Sus scrofa: one gene and its partners. The protein of the gene in region 3 interacts with the protein of the main gene of each other region in a biochemical or structural test. Links are inferred from orthologs where the notes say so. Each region holds a gene or a part of one and is shown on either strand. Other genes may lie near its edges.

Region 1 (4,549 bases), on a different chromosome or scaffold from region 3:
CTGCCCTTGCTCAGTGGGTTAACGATCCGGCCGTGAGCTGTGGTGTAGGTTGCAGACGCGGCTCGGATCCCACGTTGCTGTGGCTCCGGCGTAGGCTAGCAGCTACAGCTCCGATTCGACCCCTAGCCTGGGAACCTCCATATGCCGCAGGAGCAGCCCAAAGAAATAGCAAAAAGACAAAAAATAAATAAATAAATAAATAAATAAATAAATTTCATCAGATGAATTTTATTAAGATCCAAATTAACACTGATTCAAGTCACTTAGGCTAATTTATCTCCCAGTTACTTTAAAAATAACTGACAAAAATTTCTGCCTCATAATAGAGATTTTTGTAAAGACTCAAATATAAAGTAACACTTTTCTAAGAGAGAGAATTGTATTTAGGCTTATACGGTTTAAATCAAACTGGCTACTCCATGCTAAAACTTTAAAAAAGAAAAAGCAAAAAACAGTTGCTCATCTTTTCTCTCAACTTTTTCCAAGGAGGCCTAGTAATACCTTGAGCAGAGACATCCCTAGAAAGGAAATACCTTCTTTCATTCCTTCACAAATACATGCAATCACTTACTAGAGTTTTAAAAAAAGTATCTTATGTAGCTGTTCTATTTTTATTCTCTTTTTTAATAATTCCTTCCCATTTTCAGCACTATTCCTATCAGTTGATTTTTATCATTGTAGCCAAAGATCCTATTGCTCCAGATCCCTTCTTGAATGGCTTCTTCTCATAGTAAAAATTATAACCAAAATTCTCACCTAGCTCTATCTTCACTCATCTTACCACTGTGCCCAAATCTAATAAAGGTAGTATAGGAAAAAAAAAAAGACCAATTTGACCTTTTTTGGGGGGGGGGTCTTTTTGTCTTTTTAGGGCTGCCCCCACGGCATATGGAGGTTCCCAGGTTAGGGGTCCAATTGGAGCTGCAACTGCCTGCCTATGTCACAGCCACAGCAATGTGGGATCCAAGCCACGTCTGCGACCTACACCACAGCTCATAGCAATGCTGGATCCTAAACCCACTGAGCAAGGCCAGGTATTGAACCCGTGTCCTCATGGATGCTAGCTGGGTTTGCTAACTGCTGAGCCAGGATGGGAACTCCAAGACAAATCTGACTTTTAAGCCTTAAAAATACCCTAAATGCTTTAGAGTTAAGAGTACTTTAAAGAAAAAGAGGAAACTCGATTGGTACTATCAAGGAATTGGCTACATATTTTCTTTATGTTTTTATGTAAGTTTAAATTGTTAATAAATAGTTGTTATAGGTTAGTAATAAAACTAGTTTATCATTTTAGAAGGGTTTGGGGACCAGAGAAGGAAAATATATCATTAATTATTGAAATTACAAAAATCTGAAGCAGAAATTAAACGATTTAAGTGATTTGCTTATCCATTTAAAAAGGTACAGACAGTAACTTCCAATTTCATGTTAGGCTTCAAAAAAAAAATCTTAAAAAGGGACTCTTTACTAGTAAGAGAAAAGTGATGGAAGGAAATAGCTTTGAAAGCACCAGTATAATGTAAAAACAGGTAAACTTCCAGGATAGAATCTCACATTATATTAACTAAAAAACTAATAGTTGCTATACAGAAAAGAGCTAGAGAAAGAGCCAACTAGGAGAAAATAGTATTTCATCCTGTGAAGAAAAATTAAGGAAATATGGAAGGAGTGATGTATTAAATTTTTTACTATGTGATACCAATAGTAAGTAGTGAATAGGCCTATTAAGGGCAATATGAAAGAACTTCTAAAATTGGTTTCTTTTTTTAACTTCAAAATAAAGAAAGTCCCTGACTCAAAGACAGTAGTTGATAAAGGTCAACTCTTTTAATCAATTCAAAGATCATAGGGTAGGCATAAAGTCTCCCAGACCTGGTCCATCACCAAGGGACAAAAGATTCAGTTTCTTCAGATGTCTTGGGGGGGGGGGGAATGACTTGGCACTGCATCATCACACACTTAAAATCCAATAGGGTTCCTTCCAAGCCAATGGAGCACTTTGCATCAAAACATACCTTGGTGTGGTACGGACGGAAAAATCATTATCTGCCTTTCATTTCCTGAACGCCTTATAAACACGTACAATAAAACACTCCTGATTCCCATCATAGGTCATGGAAAAAACCCAACTTGCCGTTTCCACCCTCTCCCCTTTAATAGGTGCTTGCATCTCAGCACCGGGCCTTGGAGTTCTCGACGGAAATCATTGTCCAGAAGGAAGTTTACTGGGCGAGAAAAGCAACGTGGGTTACAAAGTCTGTCACCGAAATAGAAATTAGTATTAAAAACACCGATCCTACCCTCCCTCCACCTACTCACAAAAAAACAAAAACAAAATCAAAAACAACACTCTCCCCGCAAACTTGCCCCACCATTATGAAGATCCTGCAAACGCTGATCAAATATGCTTCCCAATCATCTTCAGGCAAGAGAGCACCTGGGGCTAGTTTTCCGCCCCCTCATCCCAAACCCGTCCCGGGCCCGGCCCCCAGACTGACAGAAGGGGTTCGCTCGACGTTGGCCTGGAAGGGAAAGGGGGTCTTATCAACGAACCCCGCTCCTGCTGGGGGAAGAAGTAATGTAGGGCCAGAGGTAACACGGCTTAGGTTGCGGGCAAGGCTTCGGAACTGACGAGAAGACAGGCAGAAGCCGGCGAGAGGGGAGGCGGGAGAAGCAGCCGGGCCTAGGCCGCACCAGGCCGCGAAGTGGCCATACGCTGCTTCCAGACCAAGGCTGCGAGCCAAGCCTCAGCGAAGGGGGTTACCATTACCTGGACGGGTTCCTGCAGCACCGTCATCCTTGAGGCTCAGGCCCACTTTCTGCAGTGCCTCAGGCCCCCCCCCGTAGCGGCTCCGGCCCGGCCAGCCCCGGCTCATTTAAACTCACCAGCGACCGTTACCGGGGGATGGGGGAGGCCGAGCGATTGCCGAGTACTTCCGAAAGGGACACGGAAAAACCCGAAGTGGAGAGACCGGGGCGGGAGCCAGACGGAAATGACCGAAGGAAACCGGAAATACCCGAGGTGTATCGACGGAGGAGGAGACCGTTGCCGGAAATTGTCGAGGATTACCGGAGATTACCGAGTGTAACCCAGTGCGTAGGTTCCACTTCTACGCCATGCCTTCACTCACGCACGCCACGCCCCCCATGGGCCACCCTAGGGCACGCCCAATCCGCAACCAGTAGGCTGGGCATGGCTGCAGGAGTCAGCTGGGATCGTTACGTGACCCGGTGGCCGCCTTGCTTCTCCGCTCAACCTTGCTGGATTAATTGGTGCGCTGCAGATTAAGCAAAGGGTTAAACCCAAGAGTTTGGGGTTGACTTTAGTTAAACAAGAATTATCTGTATTTTGAGTTTAGGTCATTCATTCATTCCAGAACTATCTATTCAAGGCTCAAAAGGAAAATAGGAAATTGGAAGGATTGCCACCCCCGAAGATTTTGTAGGACCCCGGTCCTCAAAGAGATTATTGTCTATTTAACGGAAAACTAATGTAACAAAGAATAGTACATTATATGGTGATGTGAGCATTCAGAAGAGAGGAAAGGGAAATTAATTAGGATTGAGATGAGGAAGTTTCAGACTGGTTTCGAAGGATGGGTAGAATTAGAAGAAAGGAGAAAATAGAAGGAAGTAGAATGAGATCTGGTACGTTAACTGGAAATGATTATTTAGGTGGCCAGATCATGGAAAAATCTCAGGAGGGAAGAGTTTTTTATTCTTGATAGAGGCATTGTGGTGTATTGGGAAATTCAGAGGCTTAGTTTTGAATTTTATCTCTGGCACTAAATTGTATTAGGTCCTTAAGCAAGTCACAACCTCCCTGAACTTCTGTTGCCTTAGTCTGAAAAAAAAAAGCAATTAAGAGAACTAAATGCATTAAAGTATGTGACTGTGTCTAACAAACTCTAAGAGGTTCTCAAATTTACTTCCTGCTCCCTTTCCCCCCAGAATGTGTGAACAGGGAACTATCAAAACTTTATTTTTTGGTAGATAAGAAAAAGTCTTTGCAATATTTTTAAATTCAAGTATAGTTGATTTACAATATTATGTTTCAGGTGAACAGCAAAGTGATGCAGATATATTTACAGATTGTTTGCCATTATAGTTTATTACAAAATATCAAATATAGTTCCCTGTGCTATACAGTAAATCCTTGTTGCTTATCTATTTTGTGTAGAGTAGTTTGTAGCTATTAATCCCATACTCCTAATTTCTCCCTCTCTCTCCCTTCCCTCTTTGGTAACCTTAAGGTTAAGGAAAACATTTGGGTTTTATTGTGTGTTTGATTGTTTGCTTTTTAGGGCTGGCCACATCTGCAACATATGGAGGTTCTGAGGCTAGGGGTCTCATCAGAGCTGTAACCGCAGGCCTACGATACAGCCACAGCAACTTGGGATCTGTGACCCACACCACAGCTCACGGCAATACTGGATTCTTAACCCACTGAGCAAGGCCAGGGATCAAACCCAAGTCCTCATGGATGCTAGTCAGGTTTGTTAACTCCAAAATGTGATGCTTTTAAGTGAGCATAGCACTCCAGATTTTC
Region 2 (4,757 bases), on a different chromosome or scaffold from region 3:
AATTGTAATTGAAAATAATGCATGTTTTTGAAACATGTTGCAATTCCAAGAAGTGGTAGCCCTAAACTTTTTTCTTTAAGCTGTGGAGTCTCTGAACTTTCCCCCCATTCACATCTCAGATTGATTACTTTCAAGAAAACAGAAGAGCTGAGTATTATCTATATAAACAAGAGATGTTCATTAACTGATACACACAACGACTTTTACTGGGAAACTACGGTGTTCCAAGTACTGTGTTAGAGGTAGCTAGACATATAATGAACTAAATAGACACAAACCCTACTCTCCTGGAGTTATAATTAGTGGGAGAGAGTGACAATAAAAAGTGCACTTATAAATCAATGCCTAATGCCAAATTGTGATATATGTCTCATAGGAAGAAAATATATAATATCAATGGATAGCAAAGTTCCCACTGTGACTTAGTGGTAATGAACCCAACCAGTATCCATGAGGATGTGGGTTCGATCTCTGGCATTGATCAGTGGGTTAATAATTCAGCATTGCCATGAACTGTGGAGTGGGTCACAGACACGACTTGGATGCCCCATTGCTGTGGCTGTGGTGTAGGCCAGCAGCTGCAGCTCTGATTCAACCCCTAGTCTGGGAACTTCCATATGCCACAGATGAGGCCCTGAAAAGACAAATGAAATAAAATACCAATGTAGAGGATCATTTTTTATAACCTATTAAGGAACACATATTACAGGGGGTTAAAAGATCTGAATAAACTGGTGCCAGGCACAGAAAGAGCGAGAGAACCAACATCTTAGAGGAGAAACACAGCCAGCGAGCTCTAAAATGGAAAACTGCAATGTTGGAGGAAATGAAAGACAACTAAAGGAACAAGACAGTAGTTAGCTAGAGTAAGACAGTAGTTAGCTAGAGTAAGAGTATCATCAGGTAAAATTGAATTCAATTAATACATTAATCCAATTAATACATCTAGGCTCCACTTCCAAGATGCAAGTGGTATAACACATATTTCCTAAGTAACACCCTCTGAATTGGCAAATCCATTGTTCCTTTTCAGATCTCAACCAAAATGATCCCTTTGCAGAATTTGACAATGATGCTTATACCATATCTTTCTGGATCTAATTCTGCCCTTAGCACGCCATCTTTTTTTGGGGAGCCGTGCCTGTGGCATGTGGAAGTTCCCAGGCCAGAGATCAAACCTAAGCCACAGTGGCAATACAGCCACTGCAGTGACAATGCCAGATCCTTAACCCGCTGCAGCACAAAAGACCACCATGCCATTTTTTTCTAATGCTAAGAGTGTGGGCTTTGTAGTCAGACTGCACTAGTTCATACCCTGGTCCTGCACTTACAAACTATGTAACTTGGGCAGTTAGCTAATCTCTCTCTCTTTTTTTTTTTTTTTTGTCTTTTTAGGGCCACATCCACGGCATATGGAGGTTCCCAGGCTAGGGGTCTAATAGGAGCTATTGCTGCCAGCCTAGGCCAGAGCCACAGCAATGCAGGATCCAAGCTGCATCTGCAACCTACACCACAGCCCACAGCAATGCTGGATCCTTAACTCACTGAGCAAGGCCAGGGATCAAATCCACAACTCCATGGTTCCTAGCCTGATTCATTTCCGCTGTGCCACGACAGGAACTCCAACTAGCTAATCTCTCTAAACCTCAGTTTTCTCAATGATAAAATGAAAAACCACATTAGAATTGAACTAGAACTTCAAAGTTACTTTAAAGATTGATGTACATGTTTAACACACTGCCTGGGACATAGCAAATGCTCAATAAATATCAGCAATTATCATTATTCCCTTCTTTTCTGTTTCGCATCTCTTTTAATGGTTCTTTTTCCACCCACACCTGAAAGAATATCCTTGTCTCCTTGCTTCTCAATTTTCTCCCAGTTAAGACCATATCCCAGTAAGAGCATATGTTCAACATGTTGAAAATGCCCAAATGTACTTCATTACATGCAGGACCTCTCTCTTCTCCTTTTTTTCCATTTTTTAAAGTTTTATGGAAGGACAGTTGATTCACATGTTGTGGTAACTTCTGCTGTACTGCAAAGTGATTCAGTTATACATGTACACACATCCATTCTCTTTCCATTTCTTTTCCAACATAGATTACCACAGAATATCGGGTAATGTTCTCTGTGAGGCTCTCCCTAGAGCTTCAGGAACCTTCCACACGTTATGCCTTCATATGCATTTACCCTTCTGTCTGTAAGGCTCCCACCTCCCTCCAGGGCAGTTTAACACTGAAATCTCACTGCAAACTGAAACTGATTCTCCCAGGCCGTTTCCACAGAACTTCATTCACTCCTCTTCCATCACAATGTTCTTCTATCACATTATCACTCTGAATTGTAACAGTCTTTTTACTTCTCTGTACCTGGTAAAAAACAGCAAACACTCTTGAGTGGTGACACAGGATAGGATGATGACGAGATAGATGGTACAGCGAGATCACACAGCCAGCTGACAGAACCCCAACTCCGGGAGTGTGATTCCAGAGCCCAAGCTCTTAACCACGAAACTTCAGTTTAAGCCTCAACGAATCACTCGTTGACTTAAACTACTAATTATGACAGGGGAGAAAAAGATGATTAGTTAAGCCATCTAGTTAATTTCTGGGCACAGAGGCAGGGGACGCACAGGAAGGTTCAAGGCTAAGTCCACCAGAGGCACGAAAAGAGAGCTGGAGAAAGCAATGAGTACCAGAGTCCCGTCAAGATGAGGTGGGGAGAGGAGTAAAGGGGCGCATATGGGGGCTGGGACAGAGCGGCCCGGAGGCATCTTAATTCCCCAACGCAGACGCCACTACACGGCTTACGCACCAAGACGGCTGGACTGGACAACCAAGTGGAATCCCTGGTGGCGGCGTAGCCGCAGACCAAATCCCCGCTCCACTCCCAGCAGCAGCCCGAGCCACCTGTCCACGCACTGATCCCGCTTCCGACCAAACTCAGCGTGGCCACGCAGCGTGCGTCCCGGGCGGAAGCGGTAGAGGTGCGGAGCGTTCGGGTACGGTCCGCCCACGCGCGCCGGACACCAAACACTCTCCCAAAACACCGGGCTCGGAAGGGAACGCGCCTGCGCACTGTCTGCCAATGGCATGCGACCCTGCAGCCACGCTCTCCCTGCGGCTTGGTCTCCAACGCTCGCGCCCCGCCTCCTCGCCCCCTTGACCCCACCCGCCAAACGTGAGCACGGAAATGACGTCAGTGCCAGGGAGAACGGAGGCGGGTTTCATTTCGGCGCCTTTCTTTCTCCCGCGGAAGCGATTGGCTGGCGTGGAGCAAAAGAGGCGGGACAAATTGCAGCGGGGTTCAGTGCCGCCACCGGGACCGGGAGATGCGGCGCAGGAGCCGTCGCTGTTGGCTTTTACCTGAGTCTCGTCTCTCACTGCGGGTACTCCTGCGGCTTGGATCATGCTGCTACCCTCGGACGTAGCCCGGCTGGTATTGGGTAAGCGTTGACGCGGTAGAGAGGGAGACCGGACCGGGCTGAGCTGGACGGAAGGACCCTCGGGGCCAAAGGTTTCCCCAGGGAGGGAAGCTCTGGGGCTTTGCCTCCCCGTCTCCGAGTTCAGGCTGGCGGTGGTTCTTCAGCCGGGGGCTCGGGCGGTTCGGGCTTTGTGTGTGGACACTCCTCTCCTTCGAGGTTGCGTGATGAGGAGAGGCTGAAGGAAGCCCGGAGTGGAACACCTGAAGCCGGGATTGGAGGGAAAGTCAGGCCTACACTTAATTAGGACCCTGCCGGGAAGCTGCTACGTGATGCACCGACGGCTTCACCTTGGCACACTGCACTTTGTCAGAATTGGGACCAAAGTAGGAAAGAGAGGGACTTCCCCCAGCCCCCTCCCCCCAGCTTTGTAGAAAGACATTCCTGACGCCCTTCTCGTAACTCGCCCTTAGAACTGCGAATTTGGGACGAATGGGTGATCTTCCTTCCTTATCCCGTCCCTCCGCAAGAAGTCGTCCAGTGTAGAGGTTTGAAACGCTAATTGCATACTTTCTGACGGCAGCAGCTCGGGTTCTTTTAATTAACAAGAATTTTCACAGGGGAAATGCCTTCCATTTGAACATTTCTAGTCCTAGTTAGTTTTTCCTCATTTTGAAAACAGTTTAGTTCCACGGCCAGTTGTCAGGGTACATTGTATGGGAAACGGGTTTTGTTATTTGTCGTCTGAAAGAATAGAGGATTGTACTGCTAGGAATGAAAGCCACATAAAGCTTAAAACTCGAGCCAGTGATTTACAGGCATCGTATGTAAATGGTAAACATCTGTAATGAAACTTCCCATGGAATCTACAGCCATTACTTTATTGTCACAAAATCCCATTTCTTGCTACTTTTTAAAGAACTCAGCCCTGCCCCTCCCCTCCAGTGGCTTTCGTGCACAGGTTTCTGATAAGTACATTTTACAGAAAACATTAGAGGGTAATCTGTTTTTGGAGAAAATAGTGACTTATACTAGTATTTTGTTAATGTTTGATTAATACTTTGCCGAGTTTATCAGAACTAAATATCAACAGTTAACTTCTATATCTTAGAGAAAAAGCCATTTCTCTTGTAATTATGTGCAAACAGATCCAAAGTAGACTTGCACAAATTCATAATAACATTGACATACTTTATTTTTCACTCTATACAAATTGTTTGCTTAAGGATTTTTTGAGTTTTGGGGGTTTGGTAATCCAGTTGAGTTTCAGTAACTATAGCCTTTAGGGTTTTTCACCCTTAGCACTATTGACATTTAAGGCCAAATAATTATT
Region 3 (4,101 bases):
ATTGCTGTGGCTGTGGTGTAGGCTGGCAGATGTAGCTCCAATTCAACCCCTAGCCTGGGAACCTCCATATGCCGCAGAAGTGGTCCAAGAAATGGCAAAAAAAAATAAAAAATTAAAAAAAAATCAAAGAAATACACTGTTGTCTATAAGCCACCTGGTCCAGAGTATTTTGTTATAGCAGCTCAACGGATGAAGGTGCCCTCTAAGCACTTTTTAGGGGTCAAGGGAGGAAGGGAAGCCAGTACTGACCGTCACGGTTGTCTCCAGAGTCTATGGTCCTGTCCACGTTTAGTTCTCTCTCCCTCTCTGTGAGGGCCTGGGTTCCCTCTCTCTGTGTCTGGGTGGCTTCCCCTGGAGCGCCTGTGTCCACCGCCACATCTGCTAGGTGCTCTCTTGAGACAAGGGGAAGGTCCTGCCCCACCTGTGCCCTGGCTGACACACTCTGGGCCCCGGCCCCAAGAGCTCGGTCCTGTTCAAGAATGGCTACAGCCCACTCCGTCCCAGCATCCCCTTCTGCCAGAAGCTGGCTCTTTCTGACGTCTGCCCCAGCTGAGGCTGCTAAGGACGTGTTCTTTTCCACATCTGGTTCATGGCCCCCAGCTGGAGGAGGGCGGGCTTCCGCTGGATGCACCACAGGCAGCTTTGCTGGGTCGCCTTCTGCCTCCACATCTGTTTGAGGTGTCCATGCCACAGGCACCTGATGCTTCTCTGAAAGTGTAACAGCTGGCCTTGGTGGGGCTTTCTCCTCCACTTGGGTGATGGCGTCCACAGTGGCAGAGGCTTGGCTTCTCCCTGGGTGGACTCCAGGTGAGCGCTCATCTTCCTCCACCTTCACGTCACTGCCCCTGAGAGGAGGCTGGCTCTTTTCTGGATGGGCCTTGTCTGCAGGACCCTTGGGGAGACTTCCTCTCTTTTCTAGGGGGAGCCCCTCTTCTTCCATGTCTGTGTCACTGTCTCTCCCAGCAGAGGCCTGGCTTTGATCCAGAAGGGCCACAGGTTGGGCCCTGTGGTCTCCTGCACCTGCATCTCTGTTCCATGGAACAGCCTGGCTCTCTCTCAGACGTGCCAGAGTGAGCGCCGCTGAGACTTCTTCCTCGTCATCCATGTTGCTGTCGATCATCATGGAGGCTCGGCTGCTGTCCAGAGGGACCGTCCGGGGGGCCTCTCCCTCCTCTATATCTGTATCACTACCAGCCGGGCTCTCCTGTGCATGTGCCACGCCAGGTGCCTGGGGGCTCTCTGTCCCAACTTCATGGAAGATCTGCCTCTTCTTCACGGGAACTACTGCTGGGGTGGCGGGGATCCCCTCTTCTTCCGCATCAGTATCACTGTCTATGAAGCCACAAGGCTGGGCCCTTTCTGAATGGGCTCCAGCTGGCCTCCGTGGAAGCCCACTCCCCTCATCCACATCTGTGTCACTGTCCTCCCCAGCAGGCTGGCTCCTCTCCAGAATCGCCCCAACTGGAACCACCCCATTGCTGGCAGCCCTCTTAACTCTTGCGTCCTTGTGCTTCTCCTTCACTGGACACTGGTCCTTTATGAGCTGGATTTCGGTTGTGACAGGTTTAGGCTGTTCTGTCTCTGCAGCTGAGGGAGCCTCTCCTGCTCCTGGTTGCTGACTTTCTTCCTCATCCGTGTCACTGTTCAAGTTGAAGGCAAAAGGTGGTCCAGGGCCATCTGGGGCGGGGGAAGGCCCCTCTTCATCACTGTGAAGGGAGGAGAAGAGAGAGAGTCTACAGAATCTATTTCTCCAGAAGGGAAACCCCACTCAACTGGGAGCTCCTCGAGAGCAGACATGAGGTAGTATTTGCTTTTCGTTTCTTTTTCTTTTTTTTCAGGTCATACCTGTAGCATATGGAAGTTCCTGGACTAAGGGTTGAATTGGAGCTGGAGCTGCCAGCCTATATTATAGCCACAGCAATGCTGGATCCTTAACCCATTGAGAGAGACCATGGATTGAACCCACATCCTCATGGACACTGTGTCAGGTTCTTAACCTGCTGAGCCACAATGGGAATTCCAGTATTTGCTTTTCTATCTCCAGCCATTCGTTTTCCACTTGGCACATCAGAGGTGATCAATAAAAATTCAGTTGAGTGAGAAGTTCCTTCTATGGCTCAGCAGGTTAAGAATCCAACTAGTATTCATGAGGATGTGGTTTTGATCCCCGCCCTTGATCAGTAGGTTAAGGATCCAGGGTTTCTGTGAGCTGTGGTATAGGTTGCAGACGTGGCTTGGATCCAGCATTGCTCCATATGCCACAGGTGCAACCCTAAAAAGAAACAAATAAAACTAAGTTGAATGAAAGAATATGAGGAGTTTCCCAGCCCTGACCTCCATGAGCTCTCTTGGATCCTCCAGCCCTTGGTTCCACCGTTTTTTTTTAAAGGGCTGCAGGTGCAACATGTGGAAATTCCTAGCCTAGGAGTTGAATCAGAGCTGCAGCTGCTGCCTACGCCACAGCCACGTGGATTCAAGCTGCATCTGCCACCTACACCACATCTTATGGCAACGCCAGATCCTTAACTCAGTGAGTGAGGCCAGGGATTGAACCAGCATCCTCATGGATCCTAGTTGGGTTCGTTTCCACTGAGCCACAGTGGGAACTCCTGTTCCTCCTCCTTTTGAGGACTCAGTTGTCTGGCCTCTGGCACTCACCTCTCTGGAATCACTGTTGTCAAAGAAGTCTTTGGTCCTTTCACCACACACCTTTCAGAAAGAGAATCTGTCAGGAGTAAAAAGGTTGATGATTTTACAGCCACCGTCCCCATCTCCTCACCTGCCCTCCCAATACTCGGACTTACCTACTTCCTCCTCTGAGTCCTCAGCCAACAGAAGCCTGTGCGGTTGAGTTCCTCCCTGTCCCCTGGGTGTCTCCTCTACAGTTAGAGGGCCCCGAGAGACCAAGGGCGGGGGGACATCCAAGCGATGGTACTGGCAGGGCAAGTCAGCAAAGAGAATCAACTCCCGGTTCCTCAAACGATGACTCACCCCAGGGCCCAGGACCTTGGGAGGCCTCAGGATCTGAGTGCCATTGAGGCTCCCACAGTCGCGGAGGACAGGCGCCTTGTTCCAGGCCAAGATTTCAATCACTGCATGTTGTTTGGAGATGGATGAAAAAGGCAGGGCCACAGAGCACTCGGGCATTCGGCCCACCACGTTCTTCCCAAGGTAGAGTGGGAAATCTAAGAATCAGAGAGGTAGAGAGGTTCCAAGGCCAGAGCCCTGACCTGCTATTAGGAAAACGTTCCTGTTAAGTCCCCCACTGCTCACTCAAGGCCCCCAAGTACATTAGGAAAACAAAAGATACCTAAGATAATTAGGTAATAAGGAATACATGCAATGCCTTATTTGTACTCAACACCTCATCCATCTATACTGATTTTTTTTTTTTTTCCTTTTTCTTTAATGGCCGCATCTGGGGTATATGGAAGTTCCCGGGCCAGGGACTGAATTCCAGCCGCAGCTGCAACCTATGCCACTGGTGTGGCAATGCTGGATCCTTTAACCTAATGTGCCATGGCCAGTGATCAAACCCGCCTCTCTGCAGTGACGCCAAACCACGACAGTCAGGATCTTTTTTTTTTTTTTTTTAAGGATCGCACCCACGGCATATGGAGGTTCCCAAGCTAGGGGTCAAATCGGAACTACAGCTGCCGGCCACAGCCATGCAGAACCCAAGCGGTGTCTGGACCTACACCACAGCTCACAGCAACATCGGAACCCTAATCCACTGAGCAAGGGCAGGGATCGAACCCGCAACCTCATGGTTCCTAGTCGGATTCGTTAACCACTGCACCACAATGGGAACTCCTCCTGGCTTATTTTTTATTGTGGTAAAATATACATAAAATTTGCCATTTAGCCATTTTTAAGTGTACAGTTTAGTGACATTAAGTATATTCACACTGTTGTGCAAAACCTCGTCACTATCCATTTCAAGACTCACCGGGTTTTCACTTAAACCCCTTTATCTTCTCCCACCAAAGTAAAATCACCCCCATGGAGTCCAGGGCACTTGCCGAGAGCAATCAATTCAATCAATCCTTCCTTCTCCATTCCCAGTAAAACATTTTTTCAGATCTTGACACATATAGAAGC

Evidence for each region.
Region 1: the proteins of MDC1 (region 3) and CDC27 form a complex in vitro, tested with the Homo sapiens proteins (2 studies listed by BioGRID). The link is inferred for Sus scrofa from reciprocal best matches to the Homo sapiens genes MDC1 and CDC27.
Region 2: the proteins of MDC1 (region 3) and ATM form a complex in vitro, tested with the Homo sapiens proteins (2 studies listed by BioGRID, with this or other methods). The link is inferred for Sus scrofa from reciprocal best matches to the Homo sapiens genes MDC1 and ATM.

Annotation. Positions count from the first base shown.
Region 1 is NC_010454.4:16,809,278-16,813,826, reverse strand, and holds the start of CDC27 (cell division cycle protein 27 homolog), read right to left. Parts: upstream 2,960-4,549; 5' UTR 2,877-2,959; coding exon of another isoform or gene 2,798-2,876; coding exon 2,771-2,797; intron 1-2,770. UniProt on the Homo sapiens protein: Component of the anaphase promoting complex/cyclosome (APC/C), a cell cycle-regulated E3 ubiquitin ligase that controls progression through mitosis and the G1 phase of the cell cycle.
Region 2 is NC_010451.4:36,618,966-36,623,722, reverse strand, and holds the start of ATM (serine-protein kinase ATM), read right to left. Parts: upstream 2,960-4,757; 5' UTR 2,818-2,959; intron 2,559-2,817; 5' UTR 1,839-2,558; intron 1-1,838. Other genes in the region: protein NPAT, read left to right, coding at 3,412-3,448.
Region 3 is NC_010449.5:23,239,196-23,243,296, forward strand, and holds part of MDC1 (mediator of DNA damage checkpoint protein 1), read right to left. Parts: intron 3,226-4,101; exon of another isoform or gene 3,186-3,225; coding exon 2,805-3,185; intron 2,726-2,804; coding exon 2,659-2,725; intron 1,707-2,658; coding exon 250-1,706; intron 1-249. UniProt on the Homo sapiens protein: Histone reader protein required for checkpoint-mediated cell cycle arrest in response to DNA damage within both the S phase and G2/M phases of the cell cycle.